Linked DNA regions of Saccharomyces cerevisiae S288C. Changing the gene in region 3 together with the main gene of any one other region gives a genetic interaction. Each region holds a gene or a part of one and is shown on either strand. Other genes may lie near its edges.

Evidence for each region. A genetic interaction does not mean that the proteins touch.
Region 1: mutations in SYS1 (region 3) and RGP1 together harm fitness more than expected from each alone (negative genetic interaction), as found in Saccharomyces cerevisiae (4 studies listed by BioGRID).
Region 2: mutations in SYS1 (region 3) and GDA1 together harm fitness more than expected from each alone (negative genetic interaction), as found in Saccharomyces cerevisiae (4 studies listed by BioGRID).

Annotation. Positions count from the first base shown.
Region 1 is NC_001136.10:725,160-731,553, reverse strand, and holds RGP1 (Rgp1p), read right to left. Parts: upstream 3,296-6,394; coding exon 1,304-3,295; downstream 1-1,303. Other genes in the region: HPR1 (Hpr1p), read right to left, coding at 1-976; ATP-binding cassette glutathione S-conjugate transporter YCF1, read left to right, coding at 4,003-6,394. UniProt on the Saccharomyces cerevisiae protein: The RIC1-RGP1 complex acts as a guanine nucleotide exchange factor (GEF), which activates YPT6 by exchanging bound GDP for free GTP. It is thereby required for efficient fusion of endosome-derived vesicles with the Golgi.
Region 2 is NC_001137.3:70,575-76,630, forward strand, and holds GDA1 (guanosine diphosphatase), read left to right. Parts: upstream 1-3,196; coding exon 3,197-4,753; downstream 4,754-6,056. Other genes in the region: GTA1 (Gta1p), read left to right, coding at 1-2,774; YEF1 (NADH/NAD(+) kinase), read left to right, coding at 5,370-6,056. UniProt on the Saccharomyces cerevisiae protein: After transfer of sugars to endogenous macromolecular acceptors, the enzyme converts nucleoside diphosphates to nucleoside monophosphates which in turn exit the Golgi lumen in a coupled antiporter reaction, allowing entry of additional nucleotide sugar from the cytosol.
Region 3 is NC_001142.9:428,976-433,794, reverse strand, and holds SYS1 (Sys1p), read left to right. Parts: upstream 1-1,594; coding exon 1,595-2,206; downstream 2,207-4,819. Other genes in the region: dolichyl-diphosphooligosaccharide--protein glycotransferase subunit OST1, read left to right, coding at 1-574; COX16 (Cox16p), read right to left, coding at 795-1,151; CYR1 (adenylate cyclase), read right to left, coding at 2,558-4,819. UniProt on the Saccharomyces cerevisiae protein: Necessary for the targeting of ARL3 to the Golgi. Involved in protein trafficking. May serve as a receptor for acetylated ARL3.

The DNA of each region.
Region 1 (6,394 bases), on a different chromosome or scaffold from region 3:
CGTAATACTCAGTGTTCAGAGCTTCCTCTAAGGAATATCTAGTCCTATTGTTCATCTTGATTTTGCTGTAAAAGTTCTCTTCGATTTCCAAGATTGCATCAAGAAGGGGACTTAATGATCTGTCCACATCATTTTTATATTCTAAATCGCTAAAAGCAAATTCGATCGGGCAAATAATTAGATGATAAAACACGAAGTTATAATCTGCAGCAAATATAACGTCGGAACTGCGGTTGCTTTCTCGTTCACGTGCTGATCTGTTCCATTCGTTATCAGATTCTTGTAAAGCTGAAATAGAAGCGGATCTATTGAAGTTCGATTCTTCATTTATAGGTAGTAGCTCGGATAAAAAGTTCTCTAGTTTGTATTTCATATTATAATGTTTGACGGTATTAAGGATGTCATTATTCTCTAATTTAGCTAAAATATCGTTCCAGTGGCGCAGCTTTTCGTATAAAGGCTGTTTGTAACTAATCAAATTGCTCTCCCCCAATGATACTGGCTCAACAGATGTATTCATTTTGAACCATTCGATACGTGATTCAGCATAGGGCCAAAACTTCAAAAACGTAGATGGTGAGTTTAGCAAATCAATGATGGTGGAAAATAACTCGAAAAAGGTATTTCCCCAGCTAGCTGGATTAGATCTATTAAATCTTGAGTTATACACAAAATCGAGACCTATACACGAATTTAGTAACCCTTTTTCAAGATTATTTTCTTCTTCGTCTTCAATAGCATTTGTCATTGAATCTATAATGAATCTTTTAAGTATAATGTCAATCAAAGAATCTCTATCATGAATTGCCGAAATATTTTTTTCGAGCGGTTCCCATTCAAAATTGAGAACACTTGCATGCAACATTGAAGATGGAAGTGGTTCATGTCGAATGGAGTCAAACGAAACTGGGAGTGCTTTAAAAGTTTTCTGGAGAAAACCTATTGAGTTTTGGATCAATTCCTCGGTATTAGACATTATTACTCCTTTGCCCAAGTTTTAATGCCTCTTGAATTGTTAAAATCATCTATTAATTTACTGATCAAGCTATGGCAAAAACCTGATCATTCTAACGAAAAATGTCATTAGAGAAGCAATATGCATCGTGCGAAATGAGCAGTCTTGAAATCGCACGGACAGCAACCCATGACATCAAGAGATGACTATTACGACAATAAAGCCGGTTAACTAACTTATAAATGTATCTGTACATACCCTTTATGAAGAGAGTATAGTAAATCCTCTTTACTGGATTGGATTCAAATGCAAAACCAATTATACGAGTAAACTGCACCCATTTATTGCTTACCATCCCATGAAATCTTCGGATGTACACAGTATTGGAATGGGAACGTAACATGTAAACTCTTCACCTTCTAAATTCTCTTTTGAATGGAATAGGATGCCCTTTTTATCCTCATAAAATTGATCCAAAGTGATACTTTCTGTCTTTGCAATTATTACAAATTTTAGTCCTATCATCCACTTATGTTGAAAAACATCTGTCTTGAATTGTCCGGTAATCTGGTTTGTAGGCGATCTTGGAGGAAGTAATTTCACCGATACGGACTTGCACTCATCGAAACAAATAAAATGTTTCTCATACACCGAGTTTCCTTTTGGTTTGCTCCCTATTCCTTTTCCTTCAGTCTTATATTTTGGATTTATAATTTCAAACGATTCTAAGGATACAGTCAACGAAGTCACTTTAAGTAAAGGCGTCGTTATCGGATCTAATTCAATGACTAAATTTATATCATCAGTTGTCTTATAAAAAGGTGCTGATAAGGATACTTTTGCCATAGTCTCATTATTTCTGTTAATTTGATATGCGTTCTGTAAATTAATTAGCTGAGGTAGAAGATTAGAATTCTCATCTGACTTAACGAGAGAACAATCGTTCCACATCTTTTGCTCGAGGTTAGAAATGTTATCGCGTACCGAATAACTTTTTCTCCTCTTAGTTACAGCATCGCTTCTCAGGCTAGACTCTGCAGACGTCACCATTTCGTTCGAAAAGTGTGAGTCGTTGGGTTCAGGATCCGAAGAATCCTCATCCTTTCCGAACTGTACCCCCATTTGCAAGTCAATAAGTTCGTCTATATCTCTTGACACATTTTGGTTAGATTCCACCAGTTCAATGAAGTTTTTTTTGACACGCTTGACAAATTCATTATCTTCTAATGGAGAATCAATGTCAATTATAGAAGATTTTCTCCTACCAAATGATACAGCAGAAGCCGTAGAAACTTTTCGAGTAAACAAACGTGGCTTTAGTTCCTTTATGTTACCTGTCTTTAATATGATAGCAGGCTTATCCAGACGTGATGTGTACTGTTCGGCATTCGAACTAATATATGGTGCTATTGTTATTGGGACTCTATTTGAAAATTTCTCGATATTATCATCAGAAAGTACATCCGCACCAACCTCCAGCGTGTAATTTATTGATGCCACTTTTGACGATGAATAACTTGGGCATATATCTTTTGGCAGCTTTGTGGATTTAAAATAGAATGTTCTTACTTCACCTGGTTCTAAAGAAATTTCAGAAAATAAAAGCGTCTGTGGTATTAAAAGAAGAGGTAATGTTTTTATACTGGTATCGTTTGATATCATTAAGGTCCGTTCGTTATAGGTACCTGTTCTTCCCCTAGAACCGCTTTCTGAGAAAAGAAGACCATTGGTCACATTTGTATAATCTGAGTTGAGGTAGTTGGTTAAATTTCTTTTACCTTTGAAATGTTCTCCATCTTCCAATGCAAGAACAGAATTTGTCGTATGTCCAGGTACAATATCTAGTCCTACCATTTTTACTTCATCTTGTTTAAATTTTGACTCTGAAATTACCTCTGAATCGTATTGAAAGACCCCCGATATTTGAACATAACCGGATATTAACGTTACAGGTTGATGAAAATACATTTGCTTCTGTATTTTTTCTCTTAACATCTTACTCTCATTTAGCATTTTCATGTTATCCACATCCACACTCTCTTCAGGTTCGCCTGTTCTTTTGAAGGCACCTAGTAATGATTTTAGGGACCAGGTTTGATTTTCCATCGTGCCTTCACCATCATCTTGCACTTTCGCTTGTTGTTCCAACTTCTCTTCAACAGCTTTATCGACAGTGAGAAGCTTTTCTTTATAGTTGAACAATTCATGCTGTGAGCCTAGGTGCTTAAATCGGAAAGCAATTGATATATGTTCTCCACCAAAATAGGAATTCGATTCATGTATGATCTCCAGTTTGATGTTTTCTCTTATGAGAAATGTATCGATTCTGTGCGCACGCATATCTTCTTCTAAAGTATGAAAAATATCACAATCAAAATCAACAGCTCAAGAAATTATGGGCTAGCTTTCGCTGTTTGTTTCGACTGGCAGCCTTTGCATTGCCCCGTAGGTATCAAAGCTTCTTTGAAGCTGAATTGATCTTGAAAAATAGCACTTTGGAGACGCGCCTTACGCTTTATAGGAGACTTCGGAGTAGACTTCGATTAAAAAATAAAAATTACACAAGAAGTTCAAGTATTATGTTTAATATTCAAACAACGTTTCCACCTCATGGAGAAATGAAGACTTTTATCGTTCTCCGTGAGGTGGATTTACTGTTATTGTCGTTAGAGTTCATGAATGTTTCTCTTGCGCGAGCAGATCTACTGGTCAGGAATCTACATTACTTTGCAATCCATAGTACGCTTGTTATGCTGCATCAATACGAATATATATATCTAATGCTAACATCTGGTTTCTGTAGATATCTTGGCGTGTGTTTCTTTATGATAATACAAAAATATGTAACTCCTGGTGTGATGCTTGGGCGGTGGAAGGTTACGGCTTAGTAATTACGAAATTGATGAAAAAAGTTAGCAGCTGCTATAAAAGGTGCGATAACCTCTTGTGATCATCTGCTATGTGGAAGCTGGTTTACAACCTACAATTTTTCAATTAACAGTTTGAGAATAAATTAGGGGTATCGTACTACCGTAAAGAACAAGAAAATGGCTGGTAATCTTGTTTCATGGGCCTGCAAGCTCTGTAGATCTCCTGAAGGGTTTGGACCTATATCCTTTTACGGTGACTTTACTCAATGCTTCATCGACGGTGTGATCCTAAATCTATCAGCAATTTTCATGATAACCTTCGGTATCAGAGATTTAGTTAACCTTTGCAAGAAAAAACACTCTGGCATCAAATATAGGCGGAATTGGATTATTGTCTCTAGGATGGCACTAGTTCTGTTGGAGATAGCGTTTGTTTCACTTGCGTCTTTAAATATTTCTAAAGAAGAAGCGGAAAACTTTACCATTGTAAGTCAATATGCTTCTACAATGTTATCTTTATTTGTTGCTTTAGCCTTACACTGGATAGAATACGATAGATCAGTTGTAGCCAATACGGTACTTTTATTCTATTGGCTTTTTGAAACATTCGGTAATTTTGCTAAACTAATAAATATTCTAATTAGACACACCTACGAAGGCATTTGGTATTCCGGACAAACGGGTTTCATACTAACGTTATTCCAAGTAATAACATGTGCCAGTATCCTGTTACTTGAAGCTCTTCCAAAGAAGCCGCTAATGCCACATCAACACATACATCAAACTTTAACAAGAAGAAAACCAAATCCATACGATAGCGCAAACATATTTTCCAGGATTACCTTCTCTTGGATGTCAGGTTTGATGAAAACTGGCTATGAAAAATACTTAGTGGAAGCAGATTTATATAAATTACCGAGGAACTTTAGTAGTGAAGAACTCTCTCAAAAATTGGAGAAAAACTGGGAAAATGAGTTGAAGCAAAAATCAAATCCTTCATTATCATGGGCTATATGCAGAACTTTTGGATCTAAAATGCTTTTAGCCGCATTCTTTAAAGCAATTCATGATGTTCTAGCATTTACTCAACCACAACTACTAAGGATTTTAATCAAGTTCGTCACAGACTATAACAGTGAGAGACAGGATGACCATTCTTCTCTTCAAGGGTTTGAAAATAACCACCCACAAAAATTACCCATTGTAAGAGGGTTTTTGATTGCGTTTGCTATGTTTCTGGTGGGCTTTACTCAGACATCTGTCCTGCATCAATATTTCCTGAATGTCTTCAACACAGGCATGTATATTAAGAGCGCCCTAACGGCTTTAATATATCAAAAATCCTTAGTGCTATCTAATGAGGCTTCTGGACTTTCCTCTACCGGTGACATTGTCAATCTCATGAGTGTGGATGTTCAAAAATTACAAGATTTAACACAATGGCTAAATTTAATATGGTCAGGGCCTTTTCAAATCATTATTTGCTTATATTCTCTGTATAAGTTGTTGGGAAATTCCATGTGGGTTGGCGTGATTATACTAGTTATTATGATGCCATTGAACTCATTTTTGATGAGGATACAAAAGAAGTTGCAAAAATCCCAGATGAAGTACAAAGATGAAAGGACCCGTGTTATAAGTGAAATACTAAACAATATTAAATCTTTGAAGTTATATGCATGGGAGAAGCCTTATAGGGAAAAGCTAGAAGAAGTAAGAAATAACAAAGAGTTAAAAAATCTTACAAAACTAGGATGTTATATGGCTGTGACAAGTTTTCAGTTCAATATAGTACCATTCCTTGTTTCATGTTGTACCTTTGCTGTATTTGTTTATACTGAGGATAGAGCATTGACTACTGACTTAGTTTTCCCTGCTTTGACTCTGTTCAACCTGCTCTCATTCCCACTAATGATTATTCCTATGGTTTTAAATTCTTTTATCGAAGCTTCTGTTTCTATTGGTAGATTATTTACATTCTTTACCAATGAAGAGCTACAACCAGATTCGGTTCAGCGTTTACCAAAAGTAAAAAATATTGGCGATGTAGCCATTAACATTGGAGATGATGCTACCTTTTTATGGCAACGGAAACCGGAATACAAAGTAGCCTTAAAGAATATTAATTTCCAAGCTAAAAAAGGAAATTTGACCTGTATTGTTGGTAAAGTTGGCAGTGGTAAAACAGCTCTATTGTCATGCATGTTAGGTGATCTATTCAGGGTTAAAGGTTTCGCCACCGTTCATGGTTCTGTTGCTTATGTTTCACAAGTTCCATGGATAATGAATGGTACTGTAAAGGAAAACATTTTATTTGGGCATAGATACGACGCGGAATTTTACGAAAAAACGATCAAGGCCTGTGCGTTAACTATTGATCTTGCAATTTTGATGGATGGAGATAAGACATTAGTTGGCGAGAAAGGGATCTCCTTATCTGGAGGACAAAAAGCTCGTTTGTCTTTAGCAAGAGCAGTTTATGCGAGAGCTGACACTTATTTACTTGATGATCCTTTGGCAGCTGTTGATGAACACGTTGCCAGGCACTTGATCGAACATGTGTTGGGTC
Region 2 (6,056 bases), on a different chromosome or scaffold from region 3:
CTTTGAAGATCAAAACTCCACCGGCAACAAAAGTGTCTATCGACAAAATAGCCACGGATTCAGTGACCATTCATTGGGAGAACGAACCTGTAAAAGCGGAGGACAATGGCAGTGCGGATAGAAACTTCATTTCCCACTATTTGTTGTATCTGAATAACACACAATTGGCTATCTTCCCAAACAACCCAAACTCCCTTTACACATGCTGCTCCATCACGGGTCTCGAGGCGGAGACGCAGTACCAGTTAGATTTTATAACGATTAACAACAAGGGCTTTATCAATAAGCTACCCTCCATTTACTGTATGACGAAGGCGAGAGAGGCGAATGAAGCGTTAAAGACTAGAAAATGGAGAAGAAACACCATCACATCGTCCACAGCTATGCAGCCCAGAAACTCCAAGTCCGAACCCGCCCCGTTGCCCTCTCACTACTCCTCTGTTTCCCTGTCTACTTTCTCATCCAATATTACTAATAGCGCCACCAGCAATAATGGTTCAAATCTACCCGCTTACACATCTTTGACTACGTTGAAGGATTTGGATTCGTTTTCCATCGATGATCTGAAAAAGATACTGATTTGCGCCCAGGAGGACTTACACGATGTGTTGTCCCAACAAACTTCGCTTTTGCAAGATTTTCAAGAATCGAAGTTAGAATTAGAACTAGAACTGGATAACTTGAAAACACATTGGTCGCACGAAATTGACTTGCGGAAATCCTTGAAATCCAATATCAAGTCATTGGAGAATTCTAAACTATTGACCGATTTGAAAATCGAAAAATTGAACAAGAAAATCGACAAATCCAAGGAAAAAATATCGAAAATGCGCAATGATATGCAGAAATGGTCTCAGGAAGATACCGAGCTGTTGTCTAAGGATACCATAAAGGAGAAATATTTCAAATTGCTAAATGAATCCAATGCCTCTGTGGCCAATATCAACAAAGAAATTGAGTCTTTACAAAATGAAATTTCCAAGATGGAGGAGTCTAACAAGAGATTGAACGCCTCCAAAAAATCATTGATTACTTCCATAGTGGTGAATGCCAATGTGGAAAACGATAAACCTATTGCTAGCGGAGAATTGTCGGCTGTTTTGAAGAAGCTCAATGATTTTACTTTAGAAAAAAATGGATTTTTAAGTAATGCTGGTGAAGAGTTTCTATCCAAATTGAATGCAGACTCATCATTGATTAAAATGATTAAGCAAGAGCTAAGCATTGATCAAGAATTGGAGGCCAACTGGAAATTGCAGAGGTCAAATTTGTTGAAGAAAATTAGTGCTTTAGAAAACCAATTTAATGAAATGAGCCTTAATAATCGGAATTTGAAAACAAAATTAATGGTTCAACCATATAAGAATAACGGTGATTCGCTTGCTGCCACCAATTCGAATAATTCCGCGGAAAAAAACAGAAGTTCTGGATCGATTCAATTACCATTATCCAACAACATGTCAAGAACGGGGTCCATTGATTTAATATCGAATAATAACAAAAGTATTAACAACAGTAATGCTGATTCTGCTCCTCCGTTGAGGTTGCACAATCCAGTTTCGTACTCTCCTTCGAATGAACCCATACAACCTTCAAGCAGTCTATTGAGTCAATTGACACAGGACACCGATAATCGATCAATGCTCTCCAATCACATCTCATCGAACAACGAAAACAAGCAACAGCCTTCTTCATATTCACATGCTTTACCTACAACTGCTACTGCTAATGCAACAGCAACAGCAACAGCAACTAATGGTCACTCAAGGTCAAATTTATGGACCACCGCACAATTCGCTCAACCTTCGCATCAACAAGTATCTACAGAATTGGATCAAGCTTTTGAATACGATAATGCAAACCACTTAATCAGTGGTTTGCAAAATATGATCTACGACGAAACAGACTATCCTGATAACATAAGCAATTATTCCAAGGGTTTTACTACAGACGAACTTGACAATTACTGGACTAAGCAGCAACCCCAGGTGCGCAGCACAAATGAAAGTCTTTTCTCTACGACTGGAACACCTATGTCATCATATAAGGCTAACCCAGTAATATCTCCATATTCTAGTTCTCATTTGCGACAAACCTCCAACGCAACCAATACGAATCCTATGCATCCACAGAGTCTACTCGCCGCTACATTGAATGATCCTTCATTACAAAGTTTTGTACGCAGTGGTTCTTTCTACAGTGCTCCGCAACCTGCAAACTCCTTACAGAACAATATCAATGGCAATGAAACCGAGAACATTAGTCCAAGGATATCAAGTGACTTCAATTTATTGGTGCCAAACTTGAGCCCACGACTCTCAAACGATGTGCCCATTGTTCCAGGCAATAACACTACTTTAACACCTTCACACTCGAACATATTAACAATGAACCATCAACCAACGGCGGATAACATTACACGAAGATCTTTCCATGCCTCTTCACCACCTTTCAACTCCATATGGAATTCAAATACAAATCAACTTTCTCCTCCATTGGAGGAGCAGTATCACCTCGATGTGCCTGTGGGTCCAAAGGTTCCCGCTAAAGAACCAAGCCCTAAGCCTTCTCACAAGAGGAACCAAAGTAACAGCAGCATTTCTTCTGCATGGTCCAAGTTTAAGCACAAGTCTGCATCATCACCTGCTAATGCGGACACGGATATTCAAGATTCATCAACTCCATCAACTAGTCCAAGCGGTAGAAGAATGTCAAAACTGTTGTCCAAGAGCGGTATGAATAATCTATTTAACCCGCACAGTCACGACTCATGAACAATATTATAATACTTCCAGGTCGTGTATATATGTAGATATATAAATTATGAAACATAATATATGAAAGCAGTTTGAGCTTATTCTTAATCATCAATAGGGTAACGGTATTAATCTCATTTTTTCTTTTTTTTTTTCTTTTTATTTTGGCGTCTCGTCTCAATTTCATTTTTCCCATCTTTTTACAACTTCAATATGAAAAACATAACACATGAAAAATAACTGTCAACATTAATAATATTCCTTGCATAGTGCTTCGATTTTCCAAATATAAAAACAGTTTCTTTTACAAGCTTATTTAATTTTGGTTTTAAGGAGAAAGCACTAATAAAAAGGGCAAGGACTGCAATCAACAATCTTTATTGGCGAACAGTTAAGGGTCCTCTCGAGAAGAAACATTAAGACATCATCGCACAAAAAACATGGCGCCCATCTTTAGAAATTACCGGTTCGCTATCGGTGCTTTTGCCGTTATTATGCTCATTTTGTTGATTAAAACATCTTCCATCGGTCCACCTTCTATTGCACGTACAGTTACTCCTAATGCTAGTATTCCCAAAACTCCGGAGGACATCTCTATCTTGCCCGTCAATGATGAACCAGGTTACCTTCAAGATTCGAAGACTGAACAAAACTATCCTGAGCTTGCCGATGCTGTGAAGTCACAAACAAGTCAAACATGCAGCGAAGAACATAAGTATGTTATCATGATCGATGCCGGCTCTACCGGTTCCCGAGTACATATATACAAGTTTGACGTCTGTACTTCCCCACCTACATTACTTGATGAAAAATTCGACATGTTAGAGCCTGGTTTATCTTCTTTCGATACCGATTCCGTTGGTGCCGCTAACTCCCTTGACCCATTACTGAAAGTAGCAATGAACTATGTCCCTATTAAGGCAAGAAGTTGTACTCCCGTTGCGGTGAAAGCTACTGCAGGCCTAAGACTCTTGGGTGATGCCAAATCTTCAAAAATTTTGAGCGCTGTAAGGGATCATTTGGAGAAGGACTATCCTTTCCCAGTTGTCGAAGGTGATGGTGTTTCCATCATGGGCGGTGATGAAGAAGGTGTCTTCGCCTGGATTACTACAAACTACCTATTAGGTAATATCGGTGCTAATGGCCCCAAGTTACCTACTGCTGCCGTTTTTGACTTAGGCGGAGGGTCTACACAAATTGTTTTTGAGCCTACTTTCCCAATAAATGAAAAAATGGTCGATGGTGAGCATAAATTTGATTTGAAGTTTGGTGATGAAAATTACACCTTGTACCAATTTTCTCATCTAGGTTACGGTTTGAAGGAAGGAAGAAATAAAGTTAACTCTGTTCTTGTGGAAAATGCATTAAAAGACGGCAAAATATTGAAGGGTGATAACACTAAGACTCATCAATTGTCATCTCCATGCCTACCGCCTAAAGTTAATGCCACAAATGAAAAGGTTACATTAGAATCCAAGGAAACTTATACCATTGACTTTATAGGGCCGGACGAGCCAAGTGGTGCACAATGTAGATTTCTGACTGATGAAATTTTGAATAAAGATGCTCAGTGCCAGTCTCCACCATGCTCTTTCAATGGGGTTCACCAACCTTCTTTAGTTCGTACATTCAAAGAATCGAACGATATCTATATTTTCTCTTATTTCTACGACAGAACCCGTCCATTGGGTATGCCCTTGTCCTTTACTTTGAATGAATTGAACGATTTGGCAAGAATAGTGTGTAAAGGCGAAGAAACTTGGAATAGTGTCTTCAGTGGCATTGCGGGGTCCCTAGATGAATTGGAAAGTGACTCGCACTTCTGTTTGGACTTATCTTTTCAAGTGTCCTTATTACATACGGGATATGACATTCCATTACAAAGAGAATTGAGAACTGGAAAGAAAATTGCCAATAAAGAAATCGGTTGGTGTTTAGGTGCGTCATTACCATTGTTGAAAGCTGATAACTGGAAATGTAAAATTCAATCAGCTTGAATAAGAACATGGACACCGCTTTTCGTCCCATGTATATTAAGGAAGAGGAGATTGCGGTGATATGTATTCTGTTATATGTCCTATTCTATAACCCTTGAACAATATGTAAACGATTTTTACGTTATGAAAATCACTATTATCCCCACAATAGTTTATTATAACACCGCCGCCAAGACAGGGGATTGAAAAGGCCTTCCGAGGTTTATCCATTTTTGGTAAAAGCCCGCCACGCCTTCAGGTGTTTGAGTATGAACTGGAAGAGTTATCTGTTAGGACCTCATAATCTTGAACATATGAGATAATTTAATATACTTTTGTTATGGATTGTTCCGTTGTTTTAAGACTATATGGCTTTGTTTTAGTTTTAGGGTGATTGTGGATATCACACCGGTCCTCAAGAAAATCGAAAACAAAAGGATAATCGGACTTATCTGGTGATCGAAGAAACTGCATTTCAGGTCGTTTAATAAACTGCTAGCTATTGATATTATATATATAAATAAACCTACAATCAGGTTAGTGTATTCATCTCACTTCTATAGCGTTGTGAAAGGGAAATGGAAATAGTGCAATCTCAATAAATCTGCTTACGTGACATTTTTTACTAAAAGAGAATATGAAAACTGATAGATTACTGATTAACGCTTCCCCGGAGACATGTACCAAGGGAGATGCTGAGATGGATACTATGGATACTATTGACAGAATGACATCAGTTAAAGTTTTAGCGGAAGGCAAGGTATTAAGCAACTTCGAAGAACCGGGCTTAATGAGGTGCGGTTATCATGATGCAAAAAACTGGGTCAGAAGATTATCGAGCGAAACAATTGTCGGTGAGGACACGAGTAATTTATACCCATTTTATGTTGATACTGCATACGATGTAAGGCGTTTGAGAAAGGATCTTATAAATGCTAAGGTTGACTTGCAGGTTGAAAACCTGATAATAATCTGCAATATTAATGATATTTCCACTGTATTTCTCATGAGAGAAGTGGTGGAATGGATCTTACGCAATTTCCATTCAATAACTGTATATGTACAAGATATTTTTAAAAAGTCAACTCAGTTTGCTGTTGGTGACCTCTGCAAAGACAGCAATTGCAGTAAAAACAGAGTAAAGTATTGGTCAAAAGAATTTGTTAAAAAACACGATTCATTCTTTGACTTGATGATTACACTAGGGGGTGATGGAACTGTCCTTTTTGCTTCATCTATATTCACGAAAGATGTTCCGCCGATTGTTCCATTTGCCCTTGGATCATTAGGATTTCTAACAAATTTTGAATTTCAAAATTTCAAA
Region 3 (4,819 bases):
CTTTGTTACTGTCTTAGACATGCTCCTGCCTGAGGGAGCTACTGATCATTATTTCACTGATTTGGTTGGCCTTGTTTCCACGTCGCATGCAGAACGTGACCATTTCTTTATAAGACCAAGATTCCCAATCTTTGGAGGTTGGAACTACAATTTTACTGTCGGTTGGACTAATAAATTGTCCGATTTCTTGCATGTATCCTCTGGCTCAGACGAGAAATTCGTTGCTTCTATCCCAATTCTAAACGGCCCACCGGACACTGTATATGATAATGTTGAATTATCGGTATTTCTTCCGGAAGGGGCCGAAATATTCGATATTGATTCTCCAGTCCCTTTTACAAATGTTTCTATAGAAACCCAGAAATCATACTTTGACCTAAATAAAGGTCACGTTAAATTAACTTTCAGTTACAGAAATTTGATTAGTCAAGTTGCCAATGGCCAAGTCTTGATAAAGTACGACTACCCGAAAAGCTCTTTTTTCAAGAAGCCTCTGTCTATTGCTTGCTATATTTTCACCGCACTAATGGGAGTTTTTGTCTTAAAAACTTTGAACATGAACGTAACTAACTGAGTTCACGTTTGAATGATATATACCTTATGATGCAGAGCAATAAATTCAGTATTTAATTTTTTATAAGTTTTATAGATAAGAATTTTCCAATGAATAAAGGTATTTACAATCATTTCCTAGACATTCTCGTGGTCTTTTCTTTGCACAATCAATGGTCATAGTTTTTTTTGTTTAGTAGTTTAAGGACAGAAGAATAACAAAGATGTTCACGTTTTGAATGTTACCAGACATTCTCAGATTCATCCTTTAACCTAGCGACGCGCACAGGCTCCCAATCCTCTTCAGAAAGACCTTGTAAACGATAATATTCTTCTTTAATATCAAATTCCCTTTGATTCTTCCTTATTTTCAAGATATCCTCTTCATTAATTTCCTGAACTTTACGATCGCCTTGCTCGTACTTGATCGCTGTAAAGCTTGACAACCAAAACGAACCCAATACTATTGTTGCACAAAATGGTAAACCAAAAAAAAGAAAGGGGTGCTTACTCAATGCTTTTTTGTATCGCCCCGCTAAAGATGCTTCATATACTAGCTGCTGTCTTCTAGACCTAAATTTTTTTCCGCTGAACGACATTTAGGAGACAAATTCTGGTAATATTTCAGTTGTTGACTAATATATATAGTGGTTTTTGCCAAAATTAAAGACTTCCTTTTATTAACTAGGTGACCAGATATAAGGAAGTGTATTTGCTTTCTAATAACTTGTGTACGGCCATAACCCGGCTTTTAATCAGTTTATTTAACAAGGTATACAAATCGCCAAACGTAACAAGAGATAGGCGCTATTATTCATTTAATATTGTCGTATTCAAAATACTAACGGTGAACAATTTGCTCCATTGTAACACTATAGGACAAGGCTAATCATGAATAAATATCTCCCCACCCAAAATATTCGTAGCTCGCGATATTCACGGTAATATTCTGTAACTTCATGTTAAGAGATGATCTTTAGGAAGGCTAAGGAAGGGTACACATAGAAGTGAGATAAAAAATAGGCATTTGAATTACTGTAACATGGTTTCGATAAGAAGGTATTTGCGAGTGCCGAATGAGTTGAAACCTTCCCAGATCTTCAAACAAGATTCTCTCTCTCCAAGTAAGATTGGACTTCAAATTGTTCTTTTACAGATTTTTTATTACACCACAGCGATCGTTCTTTTTTATTGTTGGGCGAAGCTAGCGGGATATGATCTCAATATCAAGGAATGGCTGTTTTCTTGGGAGAATATCGACTTTACGAACGCATACGGTTTATCAATCTCACTGTTATGGCTTCTGGATTCATTAATATGTGTTTTTTTCTTAACTGTTATCGTTGGACGGAGTAAACTCGCATGGGATTTTGCTATCACTATACATGCCATCAATTTTATTGTGGTGTTCCTCTATACTCGGAAATTTCCTTCTTTTTCTTGGTTTTTTCTTCAAATTTTATCATCTTTAATACTAATATTTTTGGGGACATGGACAACAAGATGGAGAGAGCTTAGAGACACCTTTTTTGAGGGCTTGGTTGATCCTAATGAAGGAGAAGTTGGATTGGTTACGCCTAGTCAGCAGCATAGTAATCATTCAGAATTGGAGCAATCACCAATACAACTAAAAGACTTAGAAAGCCAAATATGAGAGGAGATGAAACAACATATTCGAGGCAATTTTGGCAATATTATAGTCATTCAAGAGAAAACAGTAAATGTATGAAAAATGGCAAGAACCTTATCTCTATAGGCTTAATAAATCTGCCTTTTTGGCCAATTTTTCAAAACAGATCCTATTTCTTATTTATACACAATCTATATTTAACATAATTAAGTACGTGATGACATTGAAGATAATAATAAGTAAAGAGTTTACGTACTTAAATTTTATATAGTTTTAGTATACTTGCAATGTGTGAATGGATCTAGTAAGCTGAGGTACTTCTCTAGCGTGAATATGAAACGAGTAACAGGGTGGTACATAATTTACGAACAGAACTCAAGTTGATAAATCCTTTGCGTTCTTAACCATTTGTAAAAGTTCGTCAACAACATTGAAAATATTGCTTCGAGCAGATGTTTTATCGTTTCTGCAAATTTCCAGTCCTGAACACCTCTGTTGTCGTAAATGTAATAATGCCACACTGGATTCGATTCTAGTAATTACATGATCAAAAAATAACAACGCATCCTTCTCAGAAATCGATTGCATAATACCATTTTCAACTTTAGGGTTAAATTTAATATAACTTCCCTCCGTCCGAGAGTCTAGTTCAATAAATCCGCCGCTTAAAGCTGACATTATAGATTCCAGTCTGTTTGAAATGACTCTTAAACGAAACAACATCGTTTCATTGATTAATTTTGACTGCTCATCTTCAGATGCAAATTCGTGTCTGGAAGCAAGAATCTTAGGATACGCAATAGTAACGAGTTCTTTGGTTTCGAGTCCCTTTAGCTTATGCTCGCCAAAGTCAAAAAATGCCCAACCAATACTTTCCAGCATGGCAATTTCTCTTTCAAGAACCTCTCCGATAATTTCTTCACCATAAACTTCCTTGAGAGATTCCTTGCCCTTCACTACTCGCTCATGATACTTCATTATCTTGTTGAATTCAGAGTAAAAATCACTACTCATTGCAATCTGACCACCGTCAGCGACGCCCTGGACCCTTGCTGCCTTATTGACCATCGGCCCCAAATAGTCCATTCTTTGAGTCACTAAATCAAGCTCTGGAACTGGGCAGCCCCAATGAATACCCATTCTAACTGATAGGCCTTGATAGATAATGTTACCATTTCTATCCGTAACTTGGCAGCCGTCTTGAACTGAGGTAATTTCCTCCGGCCATTGTGCATCCAAGAGTTTTAATTGAACACTTAAGCACCATGTCAGACCACTAGTTGGCGTAGGAAATGCCACCATAAAGGCGTCTCCTTCTGTCTTTACTTCGTAACCACCGTAAATTCGTAGTTGACGACGCATAATGTCATTGTGAGTTTTTATTGCGGTCCTCATTGCGTTAGGGAATAGCTCCCATAAGAAGGTTGAGCTTTTGATATCAGTGAAGACCATTGCTAGGTTACCTGTTGGCGGAGAAATCTCAGGTTGAAGTCTTCTTAATGTAGTATCCTCGAAAGTACTTCTTCTAGTCATTAAAGAGTTTTTATTTAAAGTGAACCGATTTTGTTGCTGAATGTTCTCGTAAAGAGCAAGGCACAAAATTGTAATATTCTCTGTACAGCCGTAAGCCATGGCATGATCCTTCAACTCAGCTGCGGCACGGAGTGGATCAGTACTATTCTCACGCGCGATATCACAAACTGTATCCACGTCCATGTATTCCCATAACTTATGCGTTGCTACAATAAGCATCTCGTCTGCTTTTGTTAATGTCACGACAGATATGTCGGGAGAAGCATGAATGTGGGGAAGCAAATCAAAAAAACCCACTGCTCTAGACACATCTACAACACCATCTAATTTTCCATTGTTGACATACCCGCCAGATATTCTGATCCTCTCGTATTCTTCCCGCTTTGTTGGGAGATGTTGTTTGGTTAGCGTTTGGTAGTCACCATTGTTTTTGGATAAAATAGCCATACAGTCACCTAAATTTGCAGCGAAGAGTTTCTTCCCTCTGATATATATCACAGTAGAGCAAGCGCCACTTAGCAAGTCTGCATATGAAAGATTGGCAACATCGGCACCATTATCAACAGAATTTAGCATTCCGTTAATCTCCTTATTCAGTTGCAAAAAACTGAAACGAAGTGCAGTTTTTATATTATCATCTGTTTCGTCTCCATACCTTTCCAGTTGTCTGATCAGTATTTTATCGTAAATATCTCTAACAATTCTTGATATATTGTGGCCATAATCTGCATTTTGGTTTTTACTATCATGAAGACATAGTAAGCATTCGTCGTCATTTCCGCGGAATCTTTCAAAGGTAACATCACGAGATGACACATAGTCTCTTTGACCTAATGTATCAGCAACACCGTAGCGCATCCCATTTATTATTGATGCAGTTGTCCTTAAACGGAAATTGACATTTTCATCCGGTACTTTGGTAGTATTTAAAGTTACGTCCATTAAACCTAGTACCTTTAACTGAGGTAATACTGTCAGATCTGACAAATCAGCATCAATATCGTGACTTATAAATGACTTTATTTCAAACCTTCGATTTCCTGAAAAATTCAAATATTTTAGTTCTTTATTATTCCTCCAGTTCCAATCGTAATGATAGTTTGA